Linked DNA regions of Bombyx mori. The protein of the gene in region 1 purifies or fractionates together with the protein of each later gene. This does not show direct contact. Links are inferred from orthologs where the notes say so. Each region holds a gene or a part of one and is shown in the gene's direction. Other genes may lie near its edges. The genes, in order: zinc finger protein 830, RING-type E3 ubiquitin-protein ligase PPIL2 and peptidyl-prolyl cis-trans isomerase.

What was found.
Region 2: the proteins of zinc finger protein 830 (region 1) and RING-type E3 ubiquitin-protein ligase PPIL2 purify together in Homo sapiens (co-immunoprecipitation; 4 studies listed by BioGRID and IntAct, counting the BioPlex papers as one, with this or other methods). This does not show direct contact. The link is inferred for Bombyx mori from reciprocal best matches to the Homo sapiens genes ZNF830 and PPIL2.
Region 3: the proteins of zinc finger protein 830 (region 1) and peptidyl-prolyl cis-trans isomerase purify together in Homo sapiens (affinity purification with mass spectrometry; 3 studies listed by BioGRID and IntAct, counting the BioPlex papers as one, with this or other methods). This does not show direct contact. The link is inferred for Bombyx mori from reciprocal best matches to the Homo sapiens genes ZNF830 and PPIE.

What each region holds. Positions count from the first base shown.
Region 1 is NC_085115.1:6,224,365-6,228,600, forward strand, and holds the end of zinc finger protein 830, read left to right. Parts: exon of another isoform or gene 1-555; coding exon 556-659; exon of another isoform or gene 660-850; coding exon of another isoform or gene 851-1,582; intron 1,583-1,794; coding exon of another isoform or gene 1,795-2,004; exon of another isoform or gene 2,005-2,227; intron 2,228-3,236; coding exon 3,237-3,406; intron 3,407-3,518; coding exon 3,519-3,666; 3' UTR 3,667-3,728; downstream 3,729-4,236. Other genes in the region: ATP-dependent (S)-NAD(P)H-hydrate dehydratase, read right to left, coding at 851-1,582, 1,795-2,004.
Region 2 is NC_085116.1:14,595,385-14,598,144, forward strand, and holds part of RING-type E3 ubiquitin-protein ligase PPIL2, read left to right. Parts: intron 1-72; coding exon 73-221; intron 222-1,845; coding exon 1,846-1,997; intron 1,998-2,760. UniProt on the Homo sapiens protein: Has a ubiquitin-protein ligase activity acting as an E3 ubiquitin protein ligase or as an ubiquitin-ubiquitin ligase promoting elongation of ubiquitin chains on substrates.
Region 3 is NC_085121.1:14,019,381-14,023,761, forward strand, and holds the start of peptidyl-prolyl cis-trans isomerase, read left to right. Parts: upstream 1-1,517; 5' UTR 1,518-1,672; coding exon 1,673-1,882; intron 1,883-3,337; coding exon 3,338-3,523; intron 3,524-4,381. UniProt on the Homo sapiens protein: Involved in pre-mRNA splicing as component of the spliceosome. Combines RNA-binding and PPIase activities.

The sequences.
Region 1 (4,236 bases):
TCGATGAGAACGGTGACCAGTGCTTGAGGTATCTAAAAGCACTGTTAGTGGATCGGGAGGATCCGAAATGACGTGTTTGGGGCGACGTCGACTGCTTTCCATTCTGTCCGCAGGATCGGGAATGTAGTTACCGACGGCCACGATGCGAGGGTTCTCGTGTCGTGCCGCTTTGGCGAAGTGGCACATTGACGCCGACTGTAGATACTTACTGATGGACTCTAAAGTCCAGGTCGTTATGGAATTCAACGTTCCTGACGAACCACAGAGCTTCAACCGCTATCCTGCAAAAACGGGATTGAATGATTTGGAATGATTTTAAGTTAGTGCGGGCCGCGTGAGCGAACACTACACTTGCATAGGTAGTGACGGGGCGTATGCAAGTTTTGTAGAGTGTCACCTTATTTCTAAGGGACATTTTACTTCGCCTGCATATCATTGGGTACTTCTCTGTAGTGCAAACCACAGACATAAGTCTTCTCTTTAGAAATATAATTTCTAAAAATGATTCTCAGAGTGAGATGATAGCCAACAGTATATCATAGTATTATGTTTCAGTTAATGAACCTGTACAGACTACAGATCAAAAAGAAAAAGAGGAACCTGCAAGTGATGTACCAATACCAGAAGGTTTTTTTGATGACCCAGTTTTAGATGCAAAGGTAACAGATATTAGATGTTATAAAATATCAACTAACATATTACTTCATAACTCTTCTGCTTTTTAAACACAGCACATAATTTAGTTAATTTGAGTAAAAAACATTACATATTATACATTATTAATATATACATACATGATAATTTCATTAAACCATTATTTCACAATCACTATCCTTATAGAAACTAAACATTACTGGTCATATAATTCTTCAAAAGCATCATGTATAAATTCTATCATATCAGTAGCTAACATACTTCGACCTTTTAATTTAAAAGCCTTTTCATTGCACTTTCTTACTAAAATACATGCAGCATAACAAGACAAAGAAGCTGCTAACATTTTATTATTAGATATATCTGGTATTTTAATTTTATCAATATTAGCGAGAGTCCAATGCATGAATGTAGCTATAGTTCCAGATAATAAATCACCCTGTCCTCCACACCTCCGTCCAGATCCCCCAGTCTCCAATGACCAAGTGAACTCAGGAAATGGACTTATTAATTCATCATTGGGCCCTTTTTTTAATATAGTAACATTTTTCCCCATTGTCTGTACATCTATTTTATTACTTAGTCGTTCAAATTCTATTTTGTTAGGGGTTAATATTACTGGTGAATCAAAATCTTTAATTAAGTTTGGTTTTTCTGTTATTAAAAACAAACCATCAGCATCAATGATAATGGGTATTTTCTTTTGCTTGATGACTTCTATTAATTTTGCTATTATATCAAATGTTTGCCAATCTCTTCCTAATCCAGGGCCAATAACTATAGAATGGAGTCTGTCAAACCATGGTAATATTTCCTCAACAGCATCTTGCTTATCTAGTAGTGGATGCACTATTAATTCTGGGCTATATGATTTAATTACTGCAGAAGCAACTGAAGAACAAAATATATGTGCCAAGTCTGCACCTACCTGCAATTTTAACAAATATGTTCTTTATTATCAATATTCGTTTTAAATTACACTGGATGTTTTCATATTCAGAGTAACACATAACTTTTGGTTGAGTATCATGATTAATGAATAATTTCTTTTCCTAGAATGTGGATGTATTTATGTTTATGAAATTTTGTTTATTGTATGAGTCTTACCTAACAAAAACGGAATACTGAATAATTACTAACTTTGAGTGAGCTAATCCCCGCAAAATAAGGTGCACCAGTATATTCTAAAGAACCACCAATTACCCCTATTCTTCCGGCTTGCCCTTTATGACTACTTTTATCCAGAGGTGGTATGCATATTTTAATAAGGTTTTTCATACTTGTAGGATCCATGTTGTATCTATGTCTAATAAGAGAAAAACTTTTCAACAAAATTAAATTTGTTTTCATTGAAAGACCTTAAAATCTTACGCTTCGAACGATACTGCTTTATTTTTAAACTTGTGAAAGAATCATATGAAACGTATGCCACTTTCGTCAAAGTTAACAAACTATCATTTTATTAAGTTAAACCTCGTAAAATACTGTAGTATAGTACATAGAAATCGCAAAAAATACCGTAATAACATTATCAAATTACCATGACACACTGAGAATGTTTTTTTAAGGGATTTTATGACCTGGTAACTAAGACCTTTAGGTCAAGTCTTATTTTAATTTTAATGAAAACTTTTTTTATATGAAAAATAATATATGGGATGAAATATAATCTCAGTAAAATGGTGGTCATTTACTGAGAATTTTTCAGTGGACTTTATGGAAGATCGTCGTGGCCTAAAGGATAAGACGTCCGGTGCATTCGTGTTGAGCGATGCACCGGTGTTCGAATATCAGGTCAGTACCAATTTTTCTAATGAAATACGTACTCAACAAATGTTCACGATTTACTTCTACGGTGAAGGAACAACATAGTGTAATAAAAATCAAACCCGCAAAATTATAATTTGCGTAATTACTAGTGGTAGGGCGAGTCCGCACTGGTAGGTACCACCACCCTGTCTATTTCTGCCGTGAAGCAGTAATGCGTTTCGGTTTGAAGGGTGGGGCAGCCGTTGTAACTATACTGAGACCTTAGAACTTATATCTCAAGGTGGGTGGCGGATTTACGTTGCAGGTGTCTATGGGCTCCAGTAACCACTAAACACCAGGTGGGCTGTGAGCTCGTGCACCCATACAAGCGATAAAAAAAGATCATACCGATACAAATTTCATTGCTTTCACGCTACGTTACGATGATGACCGGCACCGACATAATTGTATATGGGAACAGTTTATTGATCCATATGGGTTGCAAATACTTGCAGTACTAAACTGAATTGATTTTGTTTGTATTTTAATGAGAAAAAATATTTATTCACTAAATGTAATCATCTAAGTCACACTCGGTAATAAGCCAGGTAGGTCCCACTTATTTCTGCGGTGTATCGGTTATGCGCTCCAGTTCGAACGATTTTTCAATGAAATTGAGATTTCTACATCATATCTTAATGTGGATGACGACATACACGTTGTGATATCTATGCTAAACTCCAACACAAAGTGTGATGTTCGCTGCTTGTTCGCTCGTCTACGTAAGAGAAAATTCGTTATGCTTATTTTGAAAATTGTTTATTTTATTTTAGGTTCGTAAGATTGAATATAAAGATCCAATTGAAGAGGAATGGGAAAAATTCAGAAAAGAAATAAAAGAAGAAACTAGTGCATCAGCTGAAATTATAGCAGGTGAACAAGAAGAAGCCACTGCAGAGCGACAAATAGAAGAAATCGACGAACAAATTAGAAAATGGTCCCGGTACGATAAAAACAACTCTGAAATTTTACTTTTAAATACCTAAAATTTTATTAAATTAAATAATTTTAAATTATTCAACATAGTAATGAACTTAATTTCCTTTTTTTTACAGAGTCCTGGATTTGGAATTACAAAAAGAAGAGACGAAAAAGAAAATACACGAAATGGACCAAATGAGCTTAGACGAAAATTGTGAATCAGAAAACGAAGATGATATAGACGAATTTTTAGATTGGAGGTCTAAAAAATCGTTTACGTAACAAAAAGTTTTTTCTGTTGATATGTGTTATTAAAATACTTTACTATAATGAGCTACATAAAAGTTCTTTTATTACGATTTACCCTAATCTTTATCTAAATTATTTTATATTTTGATATTTTTTTATTTTTATTGCTTAGATGGGTGGATGAGCTCACAGCCCACCTGGTGTTAAGTGGTTACTGGAGCCCATAGATATCTATAACCTAAATGCGCCACCCACCTTGAGATATTAGTTCTAAGATCTCAGTATAGTTAGTGTTAGTTTCAGAAAGTGAGATCACCCAAAACCAGTTCGGGTTCATACCTGGTCGCGGGACAACGGACGCCATATTTGTACTTCGCCAAGTGTGCGAAAAATACCATGACGTGCACAGGAATCTGCCTAGGGTGTTCGTTGATCTGGAAAAAGCGTACGGCCTTTTTTTCCTAGTAGGTGAGCTCACGGGGCTCAAACCTGACGACGTTCCTAAAACGAACCCTAGCAAGAGCCGTGCTTCGTAGAATCTACCACCGGATCGGAAACGCGACCCACTGCGAAGATCCGGCGAGAAACCCAGTGGGCTGTGTC
Region 2 (2,760 bases), on another chromosome or scaffold:
ATCCATCACTCTTTAATTCATGAAGAGTAATGTAAGGGCAAGATTGTTAAGACCAGACAATGTTTGTTTCAGGTTATGTAAGACTGGTAACAAATGTAGGACATCTGAACTTTGAATTGTACTGCGACGTAACGCCCAAAACTTGTCACAACTTCATGACACATTGTAAAAATGGATACTACAACGGAACAAAGTTCCACAGGTCTATCAGGAATTTTATGGTGAGTTGATGAAAATATTAAGTGGCGTTGAGTTTTATACCACGACTAGTGTAAAAAGACTGGTAGTTCTGCTTTGCAGAACTTCAACTTTTTTTATTGCTTAGATGGGTGGACGAGCTCACAGCCCACCTGGTGCTAAGTGGTTACTGGAGCCCATAGACATCTACAACGTAAATGCGCCACCCACCTTGAGATATAAGTTTAAGGTCTCAAGTATAGTAACAACAGCTTTTTTTTTTCGGGGAGAAATCCTCATGGATTGCCTCCGCCTGGTGAAAGGCGGAGGGGCGTGCTGGACTCCTACCGGCTAAAACCACCCTGGTGCCTCACCACACGTGCACGCGGGGCCGCGGGAATCGAAATTCTTCCGCAGGCCCACATAGTTAAAACAGCTGCCCCACCCTTCAAACCGAAACGCATAACTGCTTCACGGCAGAAATAGGCAGGGTGGTGGTCTCCCACGTGGACTCAAGAGGTCCTAAAAAAAGTGTCTGACATCTTGATTAATTAAACTACGTATCGAGGGGTGAAAGGCCATTTGGCTTAAGCTTCGATCAACAATAGTACAATTGTTGATCGAAGGGCTTAAGCGACATTTTTGCTACATTACAGGAGGACCGTTTAAAGTTTATAATTGGGACAAAATATTTTTACGCGTTGGGATTCGGGATAACTAAAAATTCTACCGAAGTACAATTTAAAACTGTATTAACGCATATAACCACTTAACAACGGGTGGGCTGTGAGCTCGTCCACCAATCCAAGCAAAAAAAAAACCACAACATTAAAGTTCTTAATTCACTTCTTCCGCTTCGCTTCAGGTGATCCGTTCGCTGTTTCGCTTCGAGTAGATGCGATTACTGACTGCCTTTGTGTTATCTCTGCAACGCTTTTATAATAGATACAACATTATTATTGCATTGCGTATAAAGCGAAATATCGCTTAAACCAAATAGCCTTACACCTCTCGATATGGCCTCCTGACTGAGCCTTTGCTCGCCCACCTGTCCTGGTGACAATGGAAAGGCCACCAGTAATCCTTCATTTTGAAAAAAAAGTTGGTCTGGGACAGCTAGCTTTATTATTTTAATGAAAACTATCAATGAACAAACAAATTGAATTAGAGACAGATGTGTGTCTAGAGTAATTCTATTGTAAGCTCAGAACTACTTACTATATCTGCAATATGGTTTTTGGGATAAACAGGTGATAAGAGGATACAGAACCTATGACCTATGGTCTCACTTTTCTGTCTATTTTTAACACAAAGCAATCATGCCAGAGGCGTTTAGTTTTAGACTGTCTATAACTGTCTATTACCAGATGGACCGTGAAGTTCGTCTGGCGATTAGACAACTTACCTGTTTAAAATATATGATTTTTTTATTAAACTAGCTGACGCGGCCGACTTCTTAGTGCCTCGATAAACAAAAAACCTAAACTTTTGTAAAAAATAAACTCAAAGGGAAAACAAAATTGTTATTTTTATTTAATTCCGAGCATTTTCATATTTATCTACCTTTTAAACCTTCATTCAATTCAAGACCAAAATTAGCCAAATCGGTCCAGCTGTTCTCGAGTTTTAGCGAGACTAACGACCAGCAATTCATTTTTATATATATAGATTCAAGGAGGAGATCCAACGGGCACAGGGTTGGGAGGCGAATCCATTTGGAAGAAACCTTTTGATGATGAAATTAAGCCAAACTTGCACCACACCGGACGAGGAGTCTTGTCTATGGCTAACTCGGGAACCAATACTAACGGATCACAATTGTAAGTACTAGATGTATTTTTAATAACTATAAATGAACTGAAGCTTTTAGGACTGGGACAGAGTTGCTTTTTTGAAATTGTAGTTTCGTGTTGTATGAATTTTCTAAAACAATAAATAAAATTACTATTCTCAAAACTTCACTATTTGAAAATTAAATAAATACAAGAACGTGAAGAAGACCAGTGCTTTGGTTCTACTCAAGACTGTGAGTTTACCTAGTCTTGCCATAAATACTGAGACAAAGGGAAAAAAAAAATCTATTGCAAAAACGTTTATTACTTTTACAGTGTGTTAGTTTAAAACATAAATATAAAACAATTTAAAGTATTAAAAGATTATTCGAAGTGGTCTCCATTGGCTGCAATACAGTCCTTTGAACGTTGAGGCCAGTTATCAATAGAAGCACACACTCTTTCCATGGGAAAATTTTTCACTGTCAATCGTACGGATTGTTTTAGGGACTCCAAATTATCATGGCGTTTAGAGCAAGCCGTACTCTCTAAAACTGACCATAAATTATAATCCAGCAGATTAAGATAGGGACTAGACGACGGCCAGTCTTCAGCTGTCAAGTTCGAGTCCGAAACGTTCGTTTCCAACCAAGACTGCGTAGACCAAGCTTTATGACCTGGCACCAAGTCTTGCTGGAAGGACCATTCTTAATTATTGAACATGGTGTTGTTAAGGGCCTTCACTACCTTCTCAAGAATGGTATCTTGATACACTTGTGCCGATGTTTTGATACCTTTTTCACAAAAGTAT
Region 3 (4,381 bases), on another chromosome or scaffold:
AACTGATTTGAACTTCAGGCAGCCTGAAGATGGACGGACGAGCTCACGGCCCAATTGTCGTTATGTGCTACCGGAGCCCATAGACAACAACAACGTAAAAGCCGCCATCCACTTTGAGACATAAGTTCTAGGTCTAAATTTTTACAGTACAACGGCTGTTCCTTAAAACCAACACATTACTGCTTCACGGCAGTAAAAATCAGAGTGTTGCTACCTACTCTTGTGGGCGTATAAGTCACCCTACCATTAGTAATTACGCATTATATAATTTTCGCAGGTTTGATTTTTATTATAGGCTCTTACAGTTTTACTGGCTTGGACGCAGCGCTCGATCCGAATGCACCGGGCGTCATAATCCGCAGGCCACCACCCCTTCAATAGCTGGTCGTTCTTGATGGACATTCTGGATTATTATTAGTCTGGACTGGATGCGATAGGCAAGAGACCTAGAATAATGGAGTGTATTTGAAGAGACCTATACTCAGCATTAGGTGGATAAGGTTTGAAGAAGAGATGAAAATTCTAGAGGCATTTAAGAATTCGTCCATTACCTTCGTAGATTGTTTTCATAAGAAGTGTAATACTTATTAACTGTAGATTATTTTGAGTACCTTAAAGGACTAGACTATATCTGTCAAAACCGTCAGATTTGACAGTTTTTTGAAAAACTTTGCGGTCCATCTTATCGTTTCATTACATATATTTCGTTCAATTTCATTCACATGTATTACTAATACAAAATACATTTTTTTCATTACACTCCGGTGTTTGGTTCCTTTGTTATCCAACACAGTATTTAAAAAAGAAACGAGCTGCCGAAGAGATATTTAATTTTGAGTTTGAGTAGGTCAGAATCGCATAGTATAACTCTTTCCTAATGATAACCTTAACGGTTTCCACTGCTTTTCCTTTTGCTATAAAATATTACAGGGCTTTTGGTAAGGTAATGTAATGATTATTTAGTTGTAATTATACTGTATACCTAGTTGAAATTATATTAACCAGTAAGTATACCAGCCCCCTTCAGCTCCCTTCCATTTTACTTTTTTATTATTCATCCGTCTTTAAGAACGGATTTCGTTTCTACCTCACGTTTAATTTCTTATCTGCTTTTGTTTGGTATATACTGGTGGCAGATACAAAGATTGCAAGACGGCGCCAATGGCGAACTCTTCTATCTATTTTTGCTATAGAGCAATCTTAAATTCCTGTTTAAAAAGGAGAAATGCCGATATTCCCAATAAATTAATTCGTGACTAGTTAGATTAAATCAAAAAACAACTAGAAAACTATTTTGTTACATATCTCACTATCGAATAGGAAAATATTTTATCATACTTGAAACTGAGAATGAGATATTTATCGTTTGTGTAATTTGCTACTCTGAGCTTACCTTAAATTACGTAAAAATCAACTGTTTATTTGAAAATCATTGAATCCAAAGATATTAAGTGATTACTTATGTTGTTTATTTTAATTCCTTCAATGAAGTAGGAAACCTATAGGTCTATGAATTCCTTTGACAAAATGACATTTGACTTTTTGAATTGTCATTCTCTTTGAGGTTATGTTTGATATAAACAAACCGCTATCGGCGCTATCACACAAATAGTTAGCTATGTACCTAAATTTCATTTAAATTTCGAATAATTTAATATAAACACACGTGAAAATGTCGAGTAAGCCTAATTCTAAGCGGACAATATACGTTGGAGGGCTAGCTGAGGAGGTCGACGAGAAAGTTTTAAACGCTGCTTTCATCCCTTTCGGGGATTTGGTTGATGTTCAAATACCTTTGGATTATGAGACTGAGAAGCATCGGGGCTTCGCTTTCATAGAGTTCGAAAACGCTGAGGATGCTGCCGCAGCGATTGATAACATGGTCAGTACTTTTACAGTGAAATACATGGCAGATGCTGGACATGGATTCTTTCAGTTCTAGTCCATAGGTATGATACAAAATACTCATTTTGGTACAAACGAAGGGTACACATCTTTGTTTATCGTTAAAGAATGTGAAATTACATTCAGGAATTATTTTTGGACAAATAAGATATATAAGTCTATATTTATTACTTATACAATAATATCTGACATTTTAAATTCTTACATTTTTTCGGTCTTAAATGTCCATTGTGAATATAGTAAGAGGTGAAGAAGTGTTATTATTGTTGTTATAACTCGGAAGTCCCCGAGTTTTTATTACAGATGGTAGGGTATATTGTAAGCCCAAGGGGTAGGTGCCACCAACATGTTTATTTATGATTTCTGATTGGCACAGTAGCCATCACCAGTGGAATAACCACAATTGAAACTACAACCTTATGTCTCAAGGTGGGTGGCAGCATTCACATTCTGATGGCTGTTGTCTTGTAATTACATAAACCTGGTGACATGAGTTTGTACATACTTATCACAAGCAAAACCTACCATAGCTAAAGGAATCTATATTGAAGAGTGAAATGCTATTTGGTATAAGCAACATTTTCCTTAATACACAACTTCATCTTCATAATTAAAGGTGTGTTTTATTTGGTATTAGCAAGAACAGTTTGATGGTTTTAATTGCTCTTTAATTGAGTTTATTCCATTAAAAAAGCTAAAGAAGTTTATTTGTTATGGTATTTTTTCCAAATTTTAAACTTTAAATGGCCTTTAAGTTCCAAAAATGTCAATATGTCCGAATGTTTGTAGGCAGCGGCTTGGCTCTTCCCCTGGCATTGCTGACGTCCATGAGCGACGGTAACCACTCACCATCAAGTGGGCTGTATGCTTGTCTGCCTATACGGCAATAAAAAAATATGTCACTTAAAACAAATAGCCTTTCACCCCTCAATATAAGGTATTGAAGGGAGAATTAAAATTATTTGTGTGTAATTTAAACCTCATCATTGGAAAATACTTTTTACTGATATTATAATTATATTTGTAATACATATTATTACAGTAAATAAAATATTGTTTCACATATATTTATACACGTCATGTTTCAAAGGTTTTTTTTTTTAAATTCCGGATTAAAGGAGATTTTGATTATTTTAATAATTTATTTAATTGACTAACACTAAAATGTTTAATATAATATTAGCTTAATACATTATCAAACTGCCATTCATAACTAAAGTGTAGGATATTGTAATAGAAAAAAGTTATATACACAGTAAATAAGCTTTTATAAAATAGGTTTGAAATTATTAATCTACTAGAAAATGACATCCATAGAGACATAGATGACCCTAGAAATATAGACATATTGTGGAATGCATAATTAAAAAAATTTAAACATGCTTAGTAATATTTTCTCATTTTAACTTGTAATCTAACTATTTATTTCTAGAATGATTCAGAACTATTTGGTAGAACAATACGAGTGAACATAGCAGCTCCGCAACGCATTAAAGAAGGCTCCACACGACCTGTCTGGTCGGATGACTCATGGCTGCAGAAACATGCTGGGGAAACTCTTCAACTGAACAAAGATGGTGAAGAAACTGAAACGAAAGACAAAACCGAAACTACTAGTGTAAGTAATCTAAAGTACATCAAATTAAGAAATAAGATGGTTATGATTCGGACATAACATGTGAAAGGATAATAAATATTATCCAAAACATTGATAAAGATGATTGATTTTAAGGATGCATAATATAAGGACTAAAGCGTTTAAAGTAAATGTATAAAGACTCTGGGTAAGGGGTTTGATAACTTTGTCACTAGCATTAGTCATATTCTTGAGATAACATAAACTCTGTCAAACGTTTGGCTTGTAATTTGGTATTATGTCAGTTACAGAGCGAATGCTACCTTCAGACGTTAATTACAAGTCTGAATTTTATTTAAATATCGACTTTTCTAACTTCACCTCAAAGGAAGTGAAATTATGATGGTAATTTTTTGTTCTATGATACTCTCCATGTCTTCGTATTGTGTCCAGTTTTCCAGTCAAGAGTTTATTGAGTTAGCACATACATTAAATTGTTTTCAAGTGATGTTATGAATATACTAAAACAAAGTGTGTAAATTTACATTGAAATTCTTCTCTTCTTCATCTTTTTCTCCACCTTATCCCACTACACACTTTACCCAGGTGGGCTTGAGCTCGTCCACATATCTAAGAAATAAAAAAAAAACTAGGTGGGGTCGGCACAGCTAATTTTTCTCTTCCATTCTCTTCTATTAGCCATCATCTCAACACTCACTCGTCTCTCTCATATCATATCGTCGTTCACACATTCCAACCATGTCTTCTTCGGTCGACCTCTTCCTCCTCTACCTTTTTCATACTATTTCCATAGATCTCCTAGTCACATGCCTCAATTCTCTACGCATCACATGTCCATACCGCGCTAATCGTCCGCTTGTTTCAAACTTCCTCTGATAT